Linked DNA regions of Caenorhabditis elegans. The protein of the gene in region 1 purifies or fractionates together with the protein of each later gene. This does not show direct contact. Each region holds a gene or a part of one and is shown on either strand. Other genes may lie near its edges.

What was found.
Region 2: the proteins of sas-7 (region 1) and W06B4.1 fractionate together in Caenorhabditis elegans (co-fractionation; one large-scale study listed by BioGRID). This does not show direct contact.

What each region holds. Positions count from the first base shown.
Region 1 is NC_003281.10:10,318,691-10,327,718, forward strand, and holds sas-7 (Spindle assembly abnormal protein 7), read left to right. Parts: upstream 1-2,358; 5' UTR 2,359-2,368; coding exon 2,369-2,431; intron 2,432-2,494; coding exon 2,495-2,666; intron 2,667-2,717; coding exon 2,718-3,040; intron 3,041-3,114; coding exon 3,115-3,255; intron 3,256-3,575; coding exon 3,576-4,346; intron 4,347-4,691; coding exon 4,692-5,729; intron 5,730-5,828; coding exon 5,829-5,968; intron 5,969-6,356; coding exon 6,357-6,663; intron 6,664-6,750; coding exon 6,751-6,837; 3' UTR 6,838-6,985; downstream 6,986-9,028. Other genes in the region: unc-69 (Short coiled-coil protein homolog), read left to right, coding at 396-441, 507-644, 694-832, 1,101-1,308; nex-2 (Annexin), read right to left, coding at 7,426-7,941, 8,867-9,028.
Region 2 is NC_003280.10:4,469,969-4,476,301, forward strand, and holds W06B4.1 (Lipase_3 domain-containing protein), read left to right. Parts: upstream 1-1,626; 5' UTR 1,627-1,634; coding exon 1,635-2,118; intron 2,119-2,174; coding exon 2,175-2,513; intron 2,514-2,961; coding exon 2,962-3,365; 3' UTR 3,366-3,586; downstream 3,587-6,333. Other genes in the region: W06B4.2 (N-acetyl-D-glucosamine kinase), read left to right, coding at 1-701, 747-980.

The DNA.
Region 1 (9,028 bases):
AATTAAGATAGATTCGTGAAAACTCAAAAATCTTCGATGAATTCTTTCAAAATCGATAAAGCGAGTTTTTAATCGATTTTACACTAATTTTATTAATTTTTCCTACTTTCCCAATGAAATTTTCTTATTTTCAATGTAAAAATTAGCAAAATTGCGATGAATTTTCATTGAAATCGTGAAAAACAGATGAAAAAGCAAGAAAAATGGATGTAAAGTGGCAAAATACACGAAGAATACATCGGAGCGCATTTGCATTGCCAAGTTGGCGATAGACAATTCTCTGCGTCTCTCACGCTCGCCGCACATCTCTCGTTTATTGATTTTTCGATTGTCCACTAGCCGCTGGCTCCGCAGTACGTCTTCTAAGCCCTACTTCTGTTACAACGAGTATTACGATGAGCCAGAAAACCGAGCAAGATGATATTCCTCTCGCTGATGATGGTAAGTGTTCTGAAATTGAATTTCCTGAAAATAAACTTTTTTTAAAATATTGTTTAATTTTCCAGACGACACTGTAACTATAATTAGCGGTGGGAAAACTCCGAGAGCTGCCCAGCCACTTCCGAAGGAGGAACCACCAGAGGATCCAGAAGAGAAAGCCCGGATGATCACACAAGTGCTGGAACTTCAGAATACTTTGGATGGTAATTCACAGAAATTTCACTTTTTCTATATTGATTTTTTAAATTTTAGATCTCTCACAACGCGTCGAATCTGTCAAGGAAGAGAGTTTGAAGTTGAGATCGGAAAATCAAGTGCTCGGCCAGTACATTCAGAACCTAATGTCCTCCTCGTCAGTATTCCAGTCTTCTCAGCCGTCACGGCCCAAGCAGTAGGTGTTGTGTTGTCCTTTAAGAATCTTTTTTTCTAATTCGATTCCCCGTCCATTGATTGTTCCATTCTCGCCGCCCACATTGGGACCCTGTGCATGATTTCCTGAAACCATAATTGCCCCTTCCACTAACCCCGCTTTAATTGCTCCTCCGATCTTGTCAGCCTTTCAGTTGCCGAAATGTTACCAAAAAGTTATATATTTTATTAAATAAATAAATAATTTTTCCAAGATCCTATTACAGTTAATATTTACAGAGATGATTCAGTTCACGACGACGATTTTGGAGAGTACGAATATTAGAAATTAGGCCGATTGTAAATAGAAGATGTCCATACCACAGTCTTTCGTTCGTTTCAAGAGCTCAGTTTGCACAACAAAAATTCTCTTATCGTGTTCAACCCGCTTATTTTATTTTCTTTACATTTTCTGTACGATTTTTTATCACATTTTTGTGTTTGTGTGAATATATTTAGTGTAGTAAAACTGTTACGAGTGCTCATCTCTTCTGTTGTGTTGTTCTATGCCTTCATTGGGTGACAAACTGGTTTCCGGCGCCGTGGACATTGATTTTATCACATAATTTCACGTCTAACAATGCTATTTAGTTATTTTTCAGTTAAAGTAAATAAAAAACAAAGAAAATGAAACTGGTAAAAGTAAATTTAAGCAATTTTCGAAAAAAAAATTTAATCGAATTAATTTCAAAATGTACCAACTACAGTAGTATCTGCAATTGTGCGTCGCGGTGTTTGCGGAGCATGATTTTTTAGTTCAAAATTTCGAGACCCGAAGGAACTCGGAGGATGTCCAACTGGGTGGATTCCCAACTCGGGGGATTGGCCACGCCCACAGAACCGTGCCTTACAATACGCCCATTTCTGCAACCTCCGCACGGTTTTAAAATTATTTTTTCTTGTTATTTCTCGCTCTATTGAGAAAAATACAGTTTTAAAATCGTGCGGCAGTTGCAGAAATGGGCGTATTGCAAGCCACGGTTCTGTGGGCGGGGCCAATCCCCCGAGTTGGTAATCCCCCCAATTGGACATCCCCCGAGTTCTTCGGGTCTCCCCAATTGGACATTCCCCGAGTTCTTCGGGTCTCGGGTCTCGTACCAACTACAGTAGTATCTGCAATTGTGCGTCGCGGTGTTTGCGGAGCATGATTTTTTAGTTCAAAATTTCAAATTAAATTAAATTAATTTTTCATTCTCAAAGTTTTAAAGCGGAATTTACATACGGGGCGCTCGTTCTTGCGGTTTTTCTTCAAAAGAACAATATTTTTTGTCGGAAATTGCATCTTTGCAGACCGAACCAGAAGAGAAGACGCACAAAAAGGGAATATTGAGTGTCCCTTTTTGTTCGTCTTCCCTCTTGGCCCGGTCTTTATCCTCTTTTGTTATTATAATTACCGTTTACCATTTAACTGTTGCACACTTACGCAGTGTACGCAGTTGCGCGTCACGGTGTTCACACGTTTTGGCTCGAGCTTTGAATATTATAAATTTCTCCCGCGATCTATCAGACTTTGCAGATAATGGGAGAAATTCCACCGACAGACAGTGGGTATCCGACGCCTCGAGATGAAATTCCATCCACGGTGAGTTGATTTTAAGCCTAGTTTTCAGCTAAATTTGTATATATTTATATAATTTATTTTCAGTCCCGACCCAATTCGCCGAACAATGCACAGCTATACCCGTTGACATCGACGCCGATTCGCGGCAACAAAAGCCGATCGATGAAGGAAAATTTCGCGACTTTCCGAAACGATCTCTCGATCATCGAGTCGACGGGCTCCGACACAATTGAAAACGATTCGCATTTTGTTCTCGGTACGGTTCCAAGGCAATTCTATCAATTAACATATCCTGTGTACCCTTTAGACGGTGTTAAATCTCTACTGGAGGCGTCGAAAGAGCTCAAGAAAAAGGATCGGGCGAATTCGTTGCTCCGAGATCAAAATGAGTCTCTTCGCGGTGAAAACGAGTCACTTCGAGAGGAGAATTGCTCGCTGCGTGAGGAATCGAGAAGGATGGATTTGGTGGATAAAGAGAATGTCATTCCAGTGATCCCAAGGCTTGTGTTTGATGAGAAGCCCGATTTGGATCCGATTACAGTAAAATCCAGTGAACAAATAAAAAAAGAGCTCTTGTCATTTATCAAAAATGATGAAGATCGCACGATTATGGAGGCTAAAATGGAAAATGTACGTGGAAAACTAATAAAATATGCCATTTAAAAATTAAAAATCGATTAAAATCTTCATTTCTCACATTCCAGATGCTGATAAGCGACTCCAAACCACCTGCGAAAGTGTTCACGGCCACCGCGACCATCCAAGTGGACACTGAGAAGATGGACGCCAACATTCAGACTGATAAGGATGATCATGTCAATGTGGTCAACGCGAACTTGCAGATTGTACGTAAATTGGTAGAAAACTTGTGAAAACCGTCGAAAATTTTGTAAAAATTGTAAAATTATGCAAATTTCAGTTAAAAAAAGAGGATTTTTCATTGAAAAATCTGAAAATTGCCGGATATTATACTATTAAAAGAGTCAGGAAATTCTGAAAAACTACAAAAATGTTTTTTTTCGTCCAGAATAATAATTTAAAAGTTTTGAAAATGACAAAAACTGCTGATTTTTTCGTTTTTTTTGTGAAATATTTCAGTTTTTCGTTCCAAAAATCCCTAAACTTCCGCGTAATTGTTGAAATTTCAAATATTTTATTTTTTCAGGAAGTGGATCAGCTACACTCGGAGATCGAGGTCATTGGCAAGAAGAAATCCGATCTGGAAAATCGCCTTTTCGATTATGAGAAGCTGAAAGCTCAGTTCGAGCAAGATGAGAACAAGCTGCGTGCAGATTTGGAGAAGAAGCTCAAGACTAGTCAGGAGAAGCTTGTGAAGTACGAAGGAAAGATCGAAGAGCTCCAGTCAAGGCTCAACAAGAAGCGTAAGGAACTGGAAGAGGTTCAAGCGGAGAATCGGAAGCTTCTGGAGGACAAGAATACGCACGATTTCGAGCTTGACGAGGCGAAAGTTCAGGGAGAGCACTTGGAGAAGCAGAGGAAGGAGGCTTGGGAGAAGGTGGAGCAGCTACAGGAGATGCTAGGAGAACTTGAAGCCGAGCTTGATCGACAGAAGGAGTTGAAACTGCAGCTGGAGAAAGACATGGAAGATTTGAGAAAGGAGCACGAGGGTCAGATGGCGGAGCTCGAGAAGCGTTTAGAAAAAGTTTCGGAAAAAGAGAAGGAGGCCATTGAGCAGTTGGAGAAGATACAGAAAGAAAATAAGACGATTGTGAAGGAGAACGTGTATCTGTCTGAGTCGAAGCAAGTGCTCCTTGAAAGTGAGATTAACCTGAAGAATGAGCTGGATGAGATGGCCGTGAAGCTTCGCAACTCTCAACATCAAGTCGCTGGGCTCAACGAGAAGATTTCGGAGGAGAAGAGGCGGAGGAAGAAGCAGGATGCGGATGTCACCAGGCTTGATGAGCAGAATCAGAAGGTAAATTTTGTAAAATTATAAATAAAAACTCTTTTCCGATCTTTACACGGAAAAAGCTTTAAAATTGGAGCTTAGAAACTGCAGTTGGAGCTTAGAAACTGCACTGGAGCTGCAGTTTAAACTGAAAAAATAGATACTGTATAATTTTTTTTTAATATAAAAAGTGAACTAAAAATGGAAAAATCTCGAATTTTCAGCTAGAAAAATAAAAAATAATTTTTTTAACTGAAATATTTTGCAATGAAGCTCATTAGAAATCTCGAATTTCCAGGTGAAATTGATATAAAAATGTGAAAACCTGATGAAAAATTTTTCAATTAAAATCACAAAAATCCAATTTTTCAGCTCCTCCGAGAAGCTCAAGACTCGGCGGAACTGCTTGAAGAAGTTCAGAAGGGAAAGCGAGAAATCGATCATCTCCGCCAACAGCTAGCTCATCAGTCGTCGGAAGCTGGCTCCGTTGGCCAGCTTCAGCAGAAGCTAGCTGAATCCGAGCACCGTGAGTACCTACTGCAGCTGGAATTGGAGCGAGTCATGAAGATGGAACGCGACCTGGATGGCAGAATCGAAGGATATATTCGATCAGAGGCGGCGGCGAACAATGAGCTCGAGAGGCTGAGAAAGGACACGGCTGAGCAGAAGGAGAAGCTCGAGGCTATGGAGATGGAAGCTCGTAGCAAGGATTTGGAGCTGGCTGATTTAACGCGGAAACTGGCGAAGGCGAGAGAGGAGCATGAGACGTTTGAAATCAATGCTCGGAATCAATTCTATGCAGTCACCGGTCAGATGCACGAGGATATCGAGAGCTACAAACAACGCTTGCTGGAGTTGGAACCTTATCCTGGAAAGATCATTTCAGGATCGTTCCGAGACTTTCCTTCGCAGACAGATCCTTCTCCTGCAACGACGGATGCCTGGATGCAAACGGATGTGGAAGAACAGCTCATGGTGAGCCCGGAAGTGTCACTGGTATCCGAAGCTCCCTCATCGCTCCAGGATTCCCGACGCTCGTCGCACCTAGATGAGAAACTTCGACGGACTATCGAAAAAATTGGGGAGTTGCTCGCTGAGCATGAAAGCTTCCAGGAGAGCCTGCGCGATCCAGAGTTTCACACGGCAGAGGCTTTCCGCAAAATCTCTCAGCTTCTCAAGTCAATCCTATCTGGTGCCAATTCGGAAGAGATGCTTGAAAGGATTTGGACGTGGCTGACTCTAAAGACGAAGGCGCTGGTGGAGCAGCAAGATGAGCAGATGAAGAAGGTACAGAAGGCCGGCGAGATGCTGTTGAGCCAGTTGCGAGAGAAAGAGTCGGACAACGAGGTGCTTACGAAGAAGTCGTTGGAGATGGAGGCGGCAGCGGAAGAGTTTCGCACTTATTATAACGTGAGATTTGGTCACTATATATTCGGTGGATATCGGCGAAAATCTAAATTATTATTAAAGAAAAAAAAAGAATTTCAAAAAAATTAAAGTTTTTTCCAGGATATGTTGACCGAAAACGATGAGCTCCGCCACCGGATTGTGCAGTTGGACGAAATTCGAGAGGTGGAATCCTCCAACAGCACGAAGATCGAGAAGGGACTCCGCGAGCAGCTGGAGCAAGCTCAGCACGAACTGGAAAAGTAGGTTTTTATTTTAAAAAATTCCAAAGAGTGTTTGGCTTAAATTCTTGGTTTTTGATGGTTACAATTTTTTTTCTGGAAAAAAACCTTACACTTTTTGAAAAATTAGCAAAAATTTAGAAATAAGCACAAATTAGCGAATTTCATACAGAAATCACTCAAAATTTCAAAAAAAAAACCCCTCCTAATTTTGGCTAAAATATTGAATTTTGGCTATTTTCCGTGACCGGAAATTGGCTGTGACACGGAAAATCGGCAAAATTGGAGATTTTAGCTGAAATTTGTCCGTTCTAAATTTTTGAAGAATCTCTTGACGAAATTCTGTTTTTATTGCTATTTTGAGACTAATAAATAGAAAAAAAATTATTTCAATTTTATTAATTTTCAGGAAAAAGCGTGAATACATGTGGAAGCTTCAGCAGAAGGACGAGTTCTACGAGATTATGGATCGCAACGTGAAGGAGACGGAGAAGGAGAACAAGCGTCTGCTGCGGAAGCGAACGGAGGATAAGGAAAGGATGGATGATTTCATGCTGAACATCCGCAAAGCGCAGGAGCAATGGAAATATCTTCGTATGCGAAATTGCCAACGACACACTTCAATGATGAATATGCTGGAATCTGTGAAGAAGAAGAAGCATGAATCACGGGATATGAACTGGCTTCTACAGCGTTTCGAGGATAGCATTAGAAAGGTTCGGGTTTAAAAATAATTTAAAGAAAATCTAGAAAAAATATATTTCAATATCCTAAAATTGGGTTTTAAAATTCCTTTTTTCCAGTACGGCGTGGCAGAACTGACGACAGAAGAAATATTGGAGCCCGAAGGCAGCAGAAGCAGTAGCAGTAGAACCCTATCCAATCATTGATTGATCGATTTAATATACATTTATTTTCGTTTTTTTTGTCTCATATCCTACTGTGAATATTACTTGTGTGAAACAAAACGGGACATTTGTTTTTTTTTTTCAATTTTATGTCTTCTTTAAATTACATGAATAAATTGCGTATTTCTTTAGACAGCTTTTGAATTTAGTGTTCTAATTATAATTTCGGGATGAATTTTGGGAAGGCGCAGGCCGCCTCGTAGGCAGGCATACCTACAGTAAAGCCTTACAAAAATGGAATAGAAGAAATGATTATTTTGATAAAAAGCCAGATGCGTAATTTTTTGTGTGTGATAAGAGAAAAGAGGGAAATGGTAAATACAAGTTCACGTGGTGTCAATTTGTCTCAATGAGGTTTGATCTACAAAAAATGCGGTAATTTTTCCCCATGAATGTGTGACGTCAGCACACTCTTAACCATGCGAAATCAGTTGAAAAGTCTGCGTCTCTTCACCCGCATTTTTCGAAGATCAAATCAAAATGGAACACTTTGACACCACGTACAAGTTGAGATTGCATGTTGTTATTAAAAATGAAAAATGAAATGGAAAATAGAAAAATTAAGCGAAATTATCCACGATTTCCATTAACCAAAGCGATCAATCCCTCTTTATAAGCTCCCGAGCAGTCTCCCTTGATCATATTTTCCAGCGATGTTCTGTACAATGATTGGAACATGTTCCGAATGTCACCCATATCGTATTCAGCACGTGTCACGCACAATCTAATCAGGTCATTGTCACGCGTGCCGAGACCCTTCATACTGTCATGGAGAAGCTTTGCAAAGTAGGCCGGCCTGTTACGGATGACGGCAATCACTGCGAGAAGTCCGTCACGAATGTCACCGCTGAACTCGAATTCGATGGCCTTCTCGATTGAGTGATTCGAGGCTTTTTGGTATTCCTCGAACACTAATCGCAGTTGACTGAAGTTCTGACTTGCGAGGATCGCGTTGAACGTCGATTCGTCCGTTCCGAGACGTTTCTCGCCGGCTTGGAGCAGGCGGCGGGCGTCTTGGTTGGCTCGGAGACCGTCGGTTTGGCTGGATTCGTCACGGCCGCCGGCGCACAAGGAGACGAGGAGACGCTGAAAATTATACGAGATTGTGATATTTTCTAAGAAAAAACTTTGAAAATCTACTATTTAAAGTTTGAACCATTAAATGGGCGGAGCTAATAAACCACGCTTACTCAAAGGAGAGAGCTTCACGTTTCTGGTGATGAAGCATTTTTGTGGTTAGCTTTTTCTATTCAGGAAGTTCAGAAGCCTCCCTATTAGACTTGCACTCCCTATTAGTATTGCTCCTTGAACACCCTCCGAAAATTAGTATTGCACTCCCTATTAGTGTTGCACTCCCTAATAGTCTTGCGTCTATTTTTTTTTGGTACAAAATCACCTCACTAATTTTGAGATTTTAACAACATTTTTTGCCTACTGTGCAACAATTTTTGGAAAAATTTCAATGAAATTGAAGTTATTACACCTTTTTGTTGCAATTACAATCAAATTCTCTGAATTTTCACACAAGGTTCGAGTTTTTTCAGAAAAAAAATAGTAAGCTCAAAGTCAGAAAAATGTTCTGAAAATTAGTATTGCACTCCCTAATAGTCTTGCACTCCCTATTAGTATTGCAAGCGGGAAGACCATCGAACAATAGTATTGCAGCTATATTAATAGAAGAAATACGGTACTCGAAAGGAGCAAACTTTGCACGTTATTCAAAGGACAGCTATTAATCAAAAAAGTTTTGGAAAATTGTGCTAGGCTCCTCCCATTTAATGGTCATGACCGGCCACCCATACAGGGACGGAGCTCACAATTACTGTCGTAATTATGTTTTTTTTATGTGAAAATTTCAGGAAGCTCATAGAAGAATTCAAAAATGCTGCTAAACACAATAAATGAGCGTGGTTTGTTAAGCTCCACCCTCAAAATGGAAGTTGGAGTTTTGGAGGCCGAGTTTTTAAATTTTCCTCGGCCACGGTCGTTAAAATTATTTCGAAAAGTTTACCTTGAAATGCCCGCTGGTTTCACCGATCAAATCTCTCTCCAAATCCTTCTTGAAGAGCATCTTATAGGCATCACGAACTTGTTGAATCTGAGCATTAGTCCTTGACGTCATAATCTCGATAAGCACGGATTCTTTCGTGCCGAGACCCTCCATTGCACGGTG
Region 2 (6,333 bases), on another chromosome or scaffold:
TCGACGCAGACACTAATCAGAGATACACTTCATCGACAGAAGGAACCAATTTCTTTTTGACGGATCACACGATCGTTTGCAAACGAATAGCTGATTGGATTCTGGAAGTTTTCGAGAAGGAGAAGCTGGACATTAAGAATCTCAAGGCTCTCGGTCTAGGGCTTTCTGGTGCCGAAGATGAGGAATTTAACAAGAAATTCGTTGATTACTTCCGTCAGAATCATGGAAATGTCACGGAAAACTTCTACTTGACTTCCGACGCTGTGATGACTCTTTTGGCCAATTTTCCAGGAGAGGAAAATGGGATTGTACTGATTGCTGGGACCGGATCTTCGTGTCGACTAAAAATTCGTGACGGATCTGTAAAAGGAGCCGGCGGCTGGGGACATCAAATTGGAGACGGAGGAAGTGCATTTTGGATCGCTCGAACTGCGATCCAGATGCTTTTCGACGCGGAAGACGGGTTCGAGGAGAACTTTAATACTGATGTTATCAAACAGCTGCTCTTCAAACACTATAATATTACTGATAAAACTAGAATGCTCGACTATTTGTACTCTAAATTTGAGAAGCATAAAATTGCCGATTTTACAGTTTCTCTCGCGGAACGAACTGACGATGCGGCTGTGGCAGAAGCTTTCAGAAGAGCTGGAGATGTTCTCGGAAAACATGTGAGAACTGTGGCAAAGTATCTCACCAATGTAATCAAATTTAAAATTTTTAAAACATTAATTCTGAATTTTCAGGAAGATCGAAAAGTTCTCAGCATTGTCCAGATCGGAGGAGTCTTTCAATCATGGGATGCTCTCCAACAAGGATTTGTGGCTTCTTTGAGTGGATCTGGAATCGAGAAAATCGTAATGTACGAGCCATCTGATTCACCTGCGGTTGGCGCAGCTGTGCTCGCTGCGAAGGAGCGGAACGAGATTTTCTTGCAGCAGAATGTAGAGAAAAAGATGCTGAGGGAGATTAATTTGTAGCTAAATTTCGGATTTAACTTTGTTATATCAAATTTGTACATTTTTAATTATATATTTCATGAATAAATTTTTATAAATCAATAAAGAAAAAAACTTCAAAAAACTGCGCACCAGTTTGCCAATCAAACTCCGCCCACTTTTCTGCGCACATCGCCAGAATTTTGCATTTTTGAATTATTTTATTGGTTTTTTGTAGATCAGGCGGGTTTTGTCAGAATTAAAGCAGAATTTTTGCAAAATAAAATGCGGGAAATATTCTAGCATTCAAATTTGATCTATTTTCCCTCGCTGCAGCGCTAAAAATTGGTTTTCCGAGGCGTTTTCCACTCAGATTTGCTTTTTATCCAATTCAGGGGTTTTTACGGCGTTTCGACAAAATGATCTATTGCACCACTTGATTTAACTGATAATATCATTTATTCCAGCTGAAACATTCGGAGAAATGCTCAAAAATGGTCTGGAAGTTGCAAATTATCAATTTTGAGCATTTTCCAAGTGTTTCAACTGGAATAAATGGTATTTTCAGATAATTTTTAGTTGAAAATGTTGGGTTATTTTGCAGAATTGTCGAATATAATCGCTGTTAAATTAGTTTTCGTTTTTTTCATAGTTTTCTAAATATAACATTATTCGTTCGATTTTTCAGTTCCAACGATGACAAAAAATGGCAAAGGAAACCGAAAAAGCACCACGATCCACGTCATCAAACCACCGATGCAGATTCCAGCTCGAGTGGATCCACCGAAACCGCTGAAGGATTTCTACTGCGGAGTTGAGGGAAACTTAGCCTGCACCCGCATCGTCGTCATCGATTCAGCGAATACTCGCTACTGGAGAACCGTCGTCGGAACTGATCTTCACTACTTCAAGCCCAGAGTAGCTTCGGAGACGATCGCTTCAGGCGTCGAAGCTGCGATGAGAAAAGCGACTGGCAAGGACAATTGGAGAGAGAAGGGCGTCATTCGACGCGTCGTCGTCCTGTTCGCCCAGACTGATCGGGGTGATAAAGTCGACGATCTCGTGACTTTTTTCCGGAATAAATATGTTTCCGTGGCGCCTGAGAAGAGAATCTGTGAAGATTTCCATGTTATGTCCGAAATCGACGCAGTTGCACCGGCTCATTTCCAGAAAGGAGAAGGTAAATTTAATTTCGAATCTTGAGAAAAATAAATTAAATTCAACATTTTTATTAAGAAGGAATTGCTCTTCAAGCCGGCGTCGACGCATTCTGCAGACTGGTCTTAAAGGACGGTACAATGAAGAAGCCCGACATCACACCAGGCATGATTGGACATGGAGGTGCCTACTGGTGTGGACGTACATCCTTCCAGATGTTTGTCAATGACGTTGAGCGTGGCACGGAGAACATGATGAGCCGAGGCAACAAGAGCAGTGTGACGGACAAAATAAAAGACGTGTTCAAGACGGTATTTTCAATGAAGAATGACCGAGACCTGCTTCAAATGAATGAAATATGCTTCTCCAATTATTATAAGCATCGTCTGGCGCTGTTCACCGAAAAGTTGGCCAGACGTAAGTAAAAACTCCGGTTTACTCTACTGATTTTGCAGCTCGTGTACTCCCCGAGGATTTTTTTTTTAAATTCAAAGAATCAATCTTTCGTAAAAATATTTTTTTTATTCAAAAAATCAATTTTCGTCACAATAAAAATTTTCGTCACATCAAAAAAACTTTTTAAAAAATCAATTTTTCGACAGAATATTTTTTTAAAAATTAAAAAAAATCAATTTTTCGTTAAAATATTTTGTTTTAATTCAAAAAATCTATGTTTTGCCAAACTATTTTTTAAAAATTCAAAAAAAATCAATTTTTCGTCAAAATATTTTTTAAATAAATTCAAAAAAATAAATTTTTCGTTAAAATATTTTTTTAAAAATTCAAAAAATCAATTTTTGTCAAAATATCAACAAATAAAATCCAAAAAAAATCAAATATTTATTTCAAGTCATGTTTTTTTCAGATAATATGATTGGCGACGTGGACACTACAAAACAGGAAGAGGGAGAAGAGGAAGAGCAAAATGAGCAAGTGGAAGAGTATGAACAGCTCCCTGTAATCGCCGAAGTCTTCCACAACGCCGGAATCACACTCGGAAATCTCGTTGTAAACGTCTTGCGTCAATATCCCCCCACTGAGAAAGAGAAAACACTGAAAATTCTGCTCTTCGGACGAATGTTCGATTCTTATAAAAATCTGATGAGCGGCTTCCTCGACTCGATCTCTGATACAGGATTCGAACGCGTCGAGCTCTACCGAAAGAAGGAAGTTTCTGCGGTGACTGCTGCAATCCACGCGGCATCACTGGACAATATCGAGCTGGGCATGAACGAAATGGAGTTTATCGATCGTGTCGCATTCTGCTAGAAGATCTTTAAATTTCCATAATTTATATAATGTGTATATTGTGTATTTATTTATATTGCCATATTTTTCAACTCCATTCTTGTGTCATGAGCAATCCCACTAAATTATTTTCTATAAAAACCACCAAATAGGTTTGAATTACATACATCAGTTTCCTGTAAATCTCTCCCCAATTCACCTCTCAATTGTTTGCTTTTCAAAGTATAAAATAAGCATAGACATCTTTCGCTCATCCGCTCCGTCCATTATGTAATTTATATACACAAGACCCCCTGTTGCCTACCCTCCCCACTAGCATTCTTCATCTTATTCATTACGAAGTTTCACTGCAATAGGGCTACTAGCTAGCGCAAGCTAATTATCATTATGTAACTGTGAAAATGACGGAAAAGTATATAGATTCTTCGTTTCTTTCCAGTTTTTTAAAAGTTCTTTCCGTTAAGTTTCTTCTACAGAATTCGGGTGGTGGGCGATGCCAAGAGAGTATAGTGTTCTCGAGTGTTTGCACTAGATTATGCACATTGTTCGCACGTTTTTCATTGAATAGGGGAGAACTTTTCGTGGGGTCACCAGCTCATGTGTGAACTTTTAATATTTTATTCTTAAGGTGTTCGGTTTGAAAATTTACTTATAATATTATACATACGCGAAATTTGGCGATTTTTGCATCAAAAATACGGTAAATGGTCTCGACGCGACAAATTTTGTTGTTACGAAGTTTTCATCGAATATAATTTTTTTTGAAAAAAAAAACTATCAAAAATCGATGAAAATTCCCCAAATTCGAATTACAGTACTCTTTAAAGGCGCATAACATTTTCCAATTCAACAAAAATTTATGGAATGCGCCTTTACGGCTTGGTTACTGTAGTCTAAACATTTTTATTTTGGCAGACGTGTACCTTTAAAGGGTTACGGTATTTTTATTGATTGTTTTTGAAAGATTGAAAAAAGCTTTTTGTAAAGCCAGATATTAATTTTAGGACTCTCACTAAGAACGAAATATTTTAAAATCGAGTGTGCGCCTTTAGGAATTACAGTAACCCCAAAAAAAGTTTGAAACTACAGTACTCCTTAAAGGCGCGCACAATTTTGTGTTTAACAAAGATTTGTCGTTTCGAGACCAGAAACGGTATTTTTAGCGGAAAGTTGCCGATTTTCGTTGCGAGACTTCTTTCTGGGCAAAAATCGCTAAAATTTACAACTTTTCGCCTAAAATCATCTGAAAGCTCTCGCGAGCCCCCGAAAATCCCAGCTGATCTTTCGATCATTTTAATGACACGTGTTTTGTTCCCTGATCAGATCGCCAACGTGACGTGGCAATGCGCTGTCAGTGATCCCACACACACACACACGGAAAGTCAATAAACACCGGTGGTGGAGGTCTCGGAGCTGTCAAAAATGGCCTCGAGATCTTCTAAGTGAGCAGGAAAATATGAAGAAACAGAAGAATAAGGAGAAGGTAACACACCACCTGCTACTTTTTATGAATTTTCTCTTTTCAATTCATAATTACTCTTGACCATCTTCCCCCAAATTTCTCTGACCTTGTTTCTCTTGCTTCAATCTCGTTCGGGTACATTTGTGTACTCTTGGTCGTGTTTTTGTCTGATGCTTCCGTCGTCGTCTCAATTTCTCCTAATTCCTAATCCGTGTTGAATTCTGATTTCCGATTGAATACTGGTCGCCACCCTAAAACAATAAGCTTTCCCTGTTCCCGACACGAATTGTCTCCTTCTTCTTGTTGTTTTTTTGTGCCTACCGCCCGTATTTGAAACCGTGTTTCTTCTCCATTTCAACATACAATTCGTCATCGACACAAAGCCTGTCTGCGTCACTTCATCTTCTATACTATCTCGAATTGAAACAAAAACGGATAACTTTGGGATTACCCAATGATTCAGTTCCACTCACACACCGTGAATACTTTTGTGCCTTTCATTTTGTTTTTCACAACGACGCTGGGTCCCGCCACGAATCTGCAATTGCTATGGAAACTTATGAAATTTCGAAATGTTATCCTAATCTGAAAATTTGAGATTTCAGCTGCAAAAATAAGGTGTCTGGTCTCGAAACGGCAGGCTTTTGTTATATCCGAAAACTCATGCGCCTTTAAAGAGTACTGTAGTTTCAAAATTGGCATAGATTTTTCATAGTTTTTGCGTACACATTTTACAATAAAGTGTCGTGTTGAGACCCACTTTTTGGAGGCATTTCCGGACGTGAGACAATATTTTTAGAAGACCAAAGTTTCCAATAAAGTAAATTTCATAACTAATTTGGAATTTCAGGAATTTTGGCGATTCAAAAAAATATTAGGTTGGTCAAAAAGTCTTTGCAAAATTTGTTTGTTTCTTCATTGCTCAGCGTTAATTTATTTTTTTCCAATTCTGTTTTTTTATTTGCACAGTGCGTAATGTGCATGTTTAATATATTTGAAAAAACTTTTCGGTGCTGTTCAAAATGACCGAGAATTTGCTCGCCGAACGTCACGCCCTCCGAGGGGTTTTTCTGTACGAGTTCCCCCAAAGCTGCAATTGCAACGAAGCTCGTCGTAACATGTGTGTAGTGTTAGGCAAGAACTCTGTCACCTACAATACCATGAAGTTTTGGTTCGAAAAGTTCACGAAAAAGAACTACCATCTCGATGATAAACCAAGATAAGATCGCTCTCGTTTGGATATCGATGAGGATATTTCGAGAGCCCTGGAAGATGATTCAAGAGCAACGTCACGCGAACTTTCTGCGACTCTCAAGCATCCCCAAAGAATCATCATCAACCATCTCCAAAAAACCGGAAAGATAGAAAAGTTCGGTCAACTCGTTCCTCACAAATTGTCCGATTCTCAGAAAAATTGCTTTGTGACCTCTCTCTTTCGCTGCTCACTAGGAAACGAACAACGGACTGGGTTAAAGATATCATTACTGGAAATGATAAATGGGTATTGTATGTTAGCCATACCAGGAA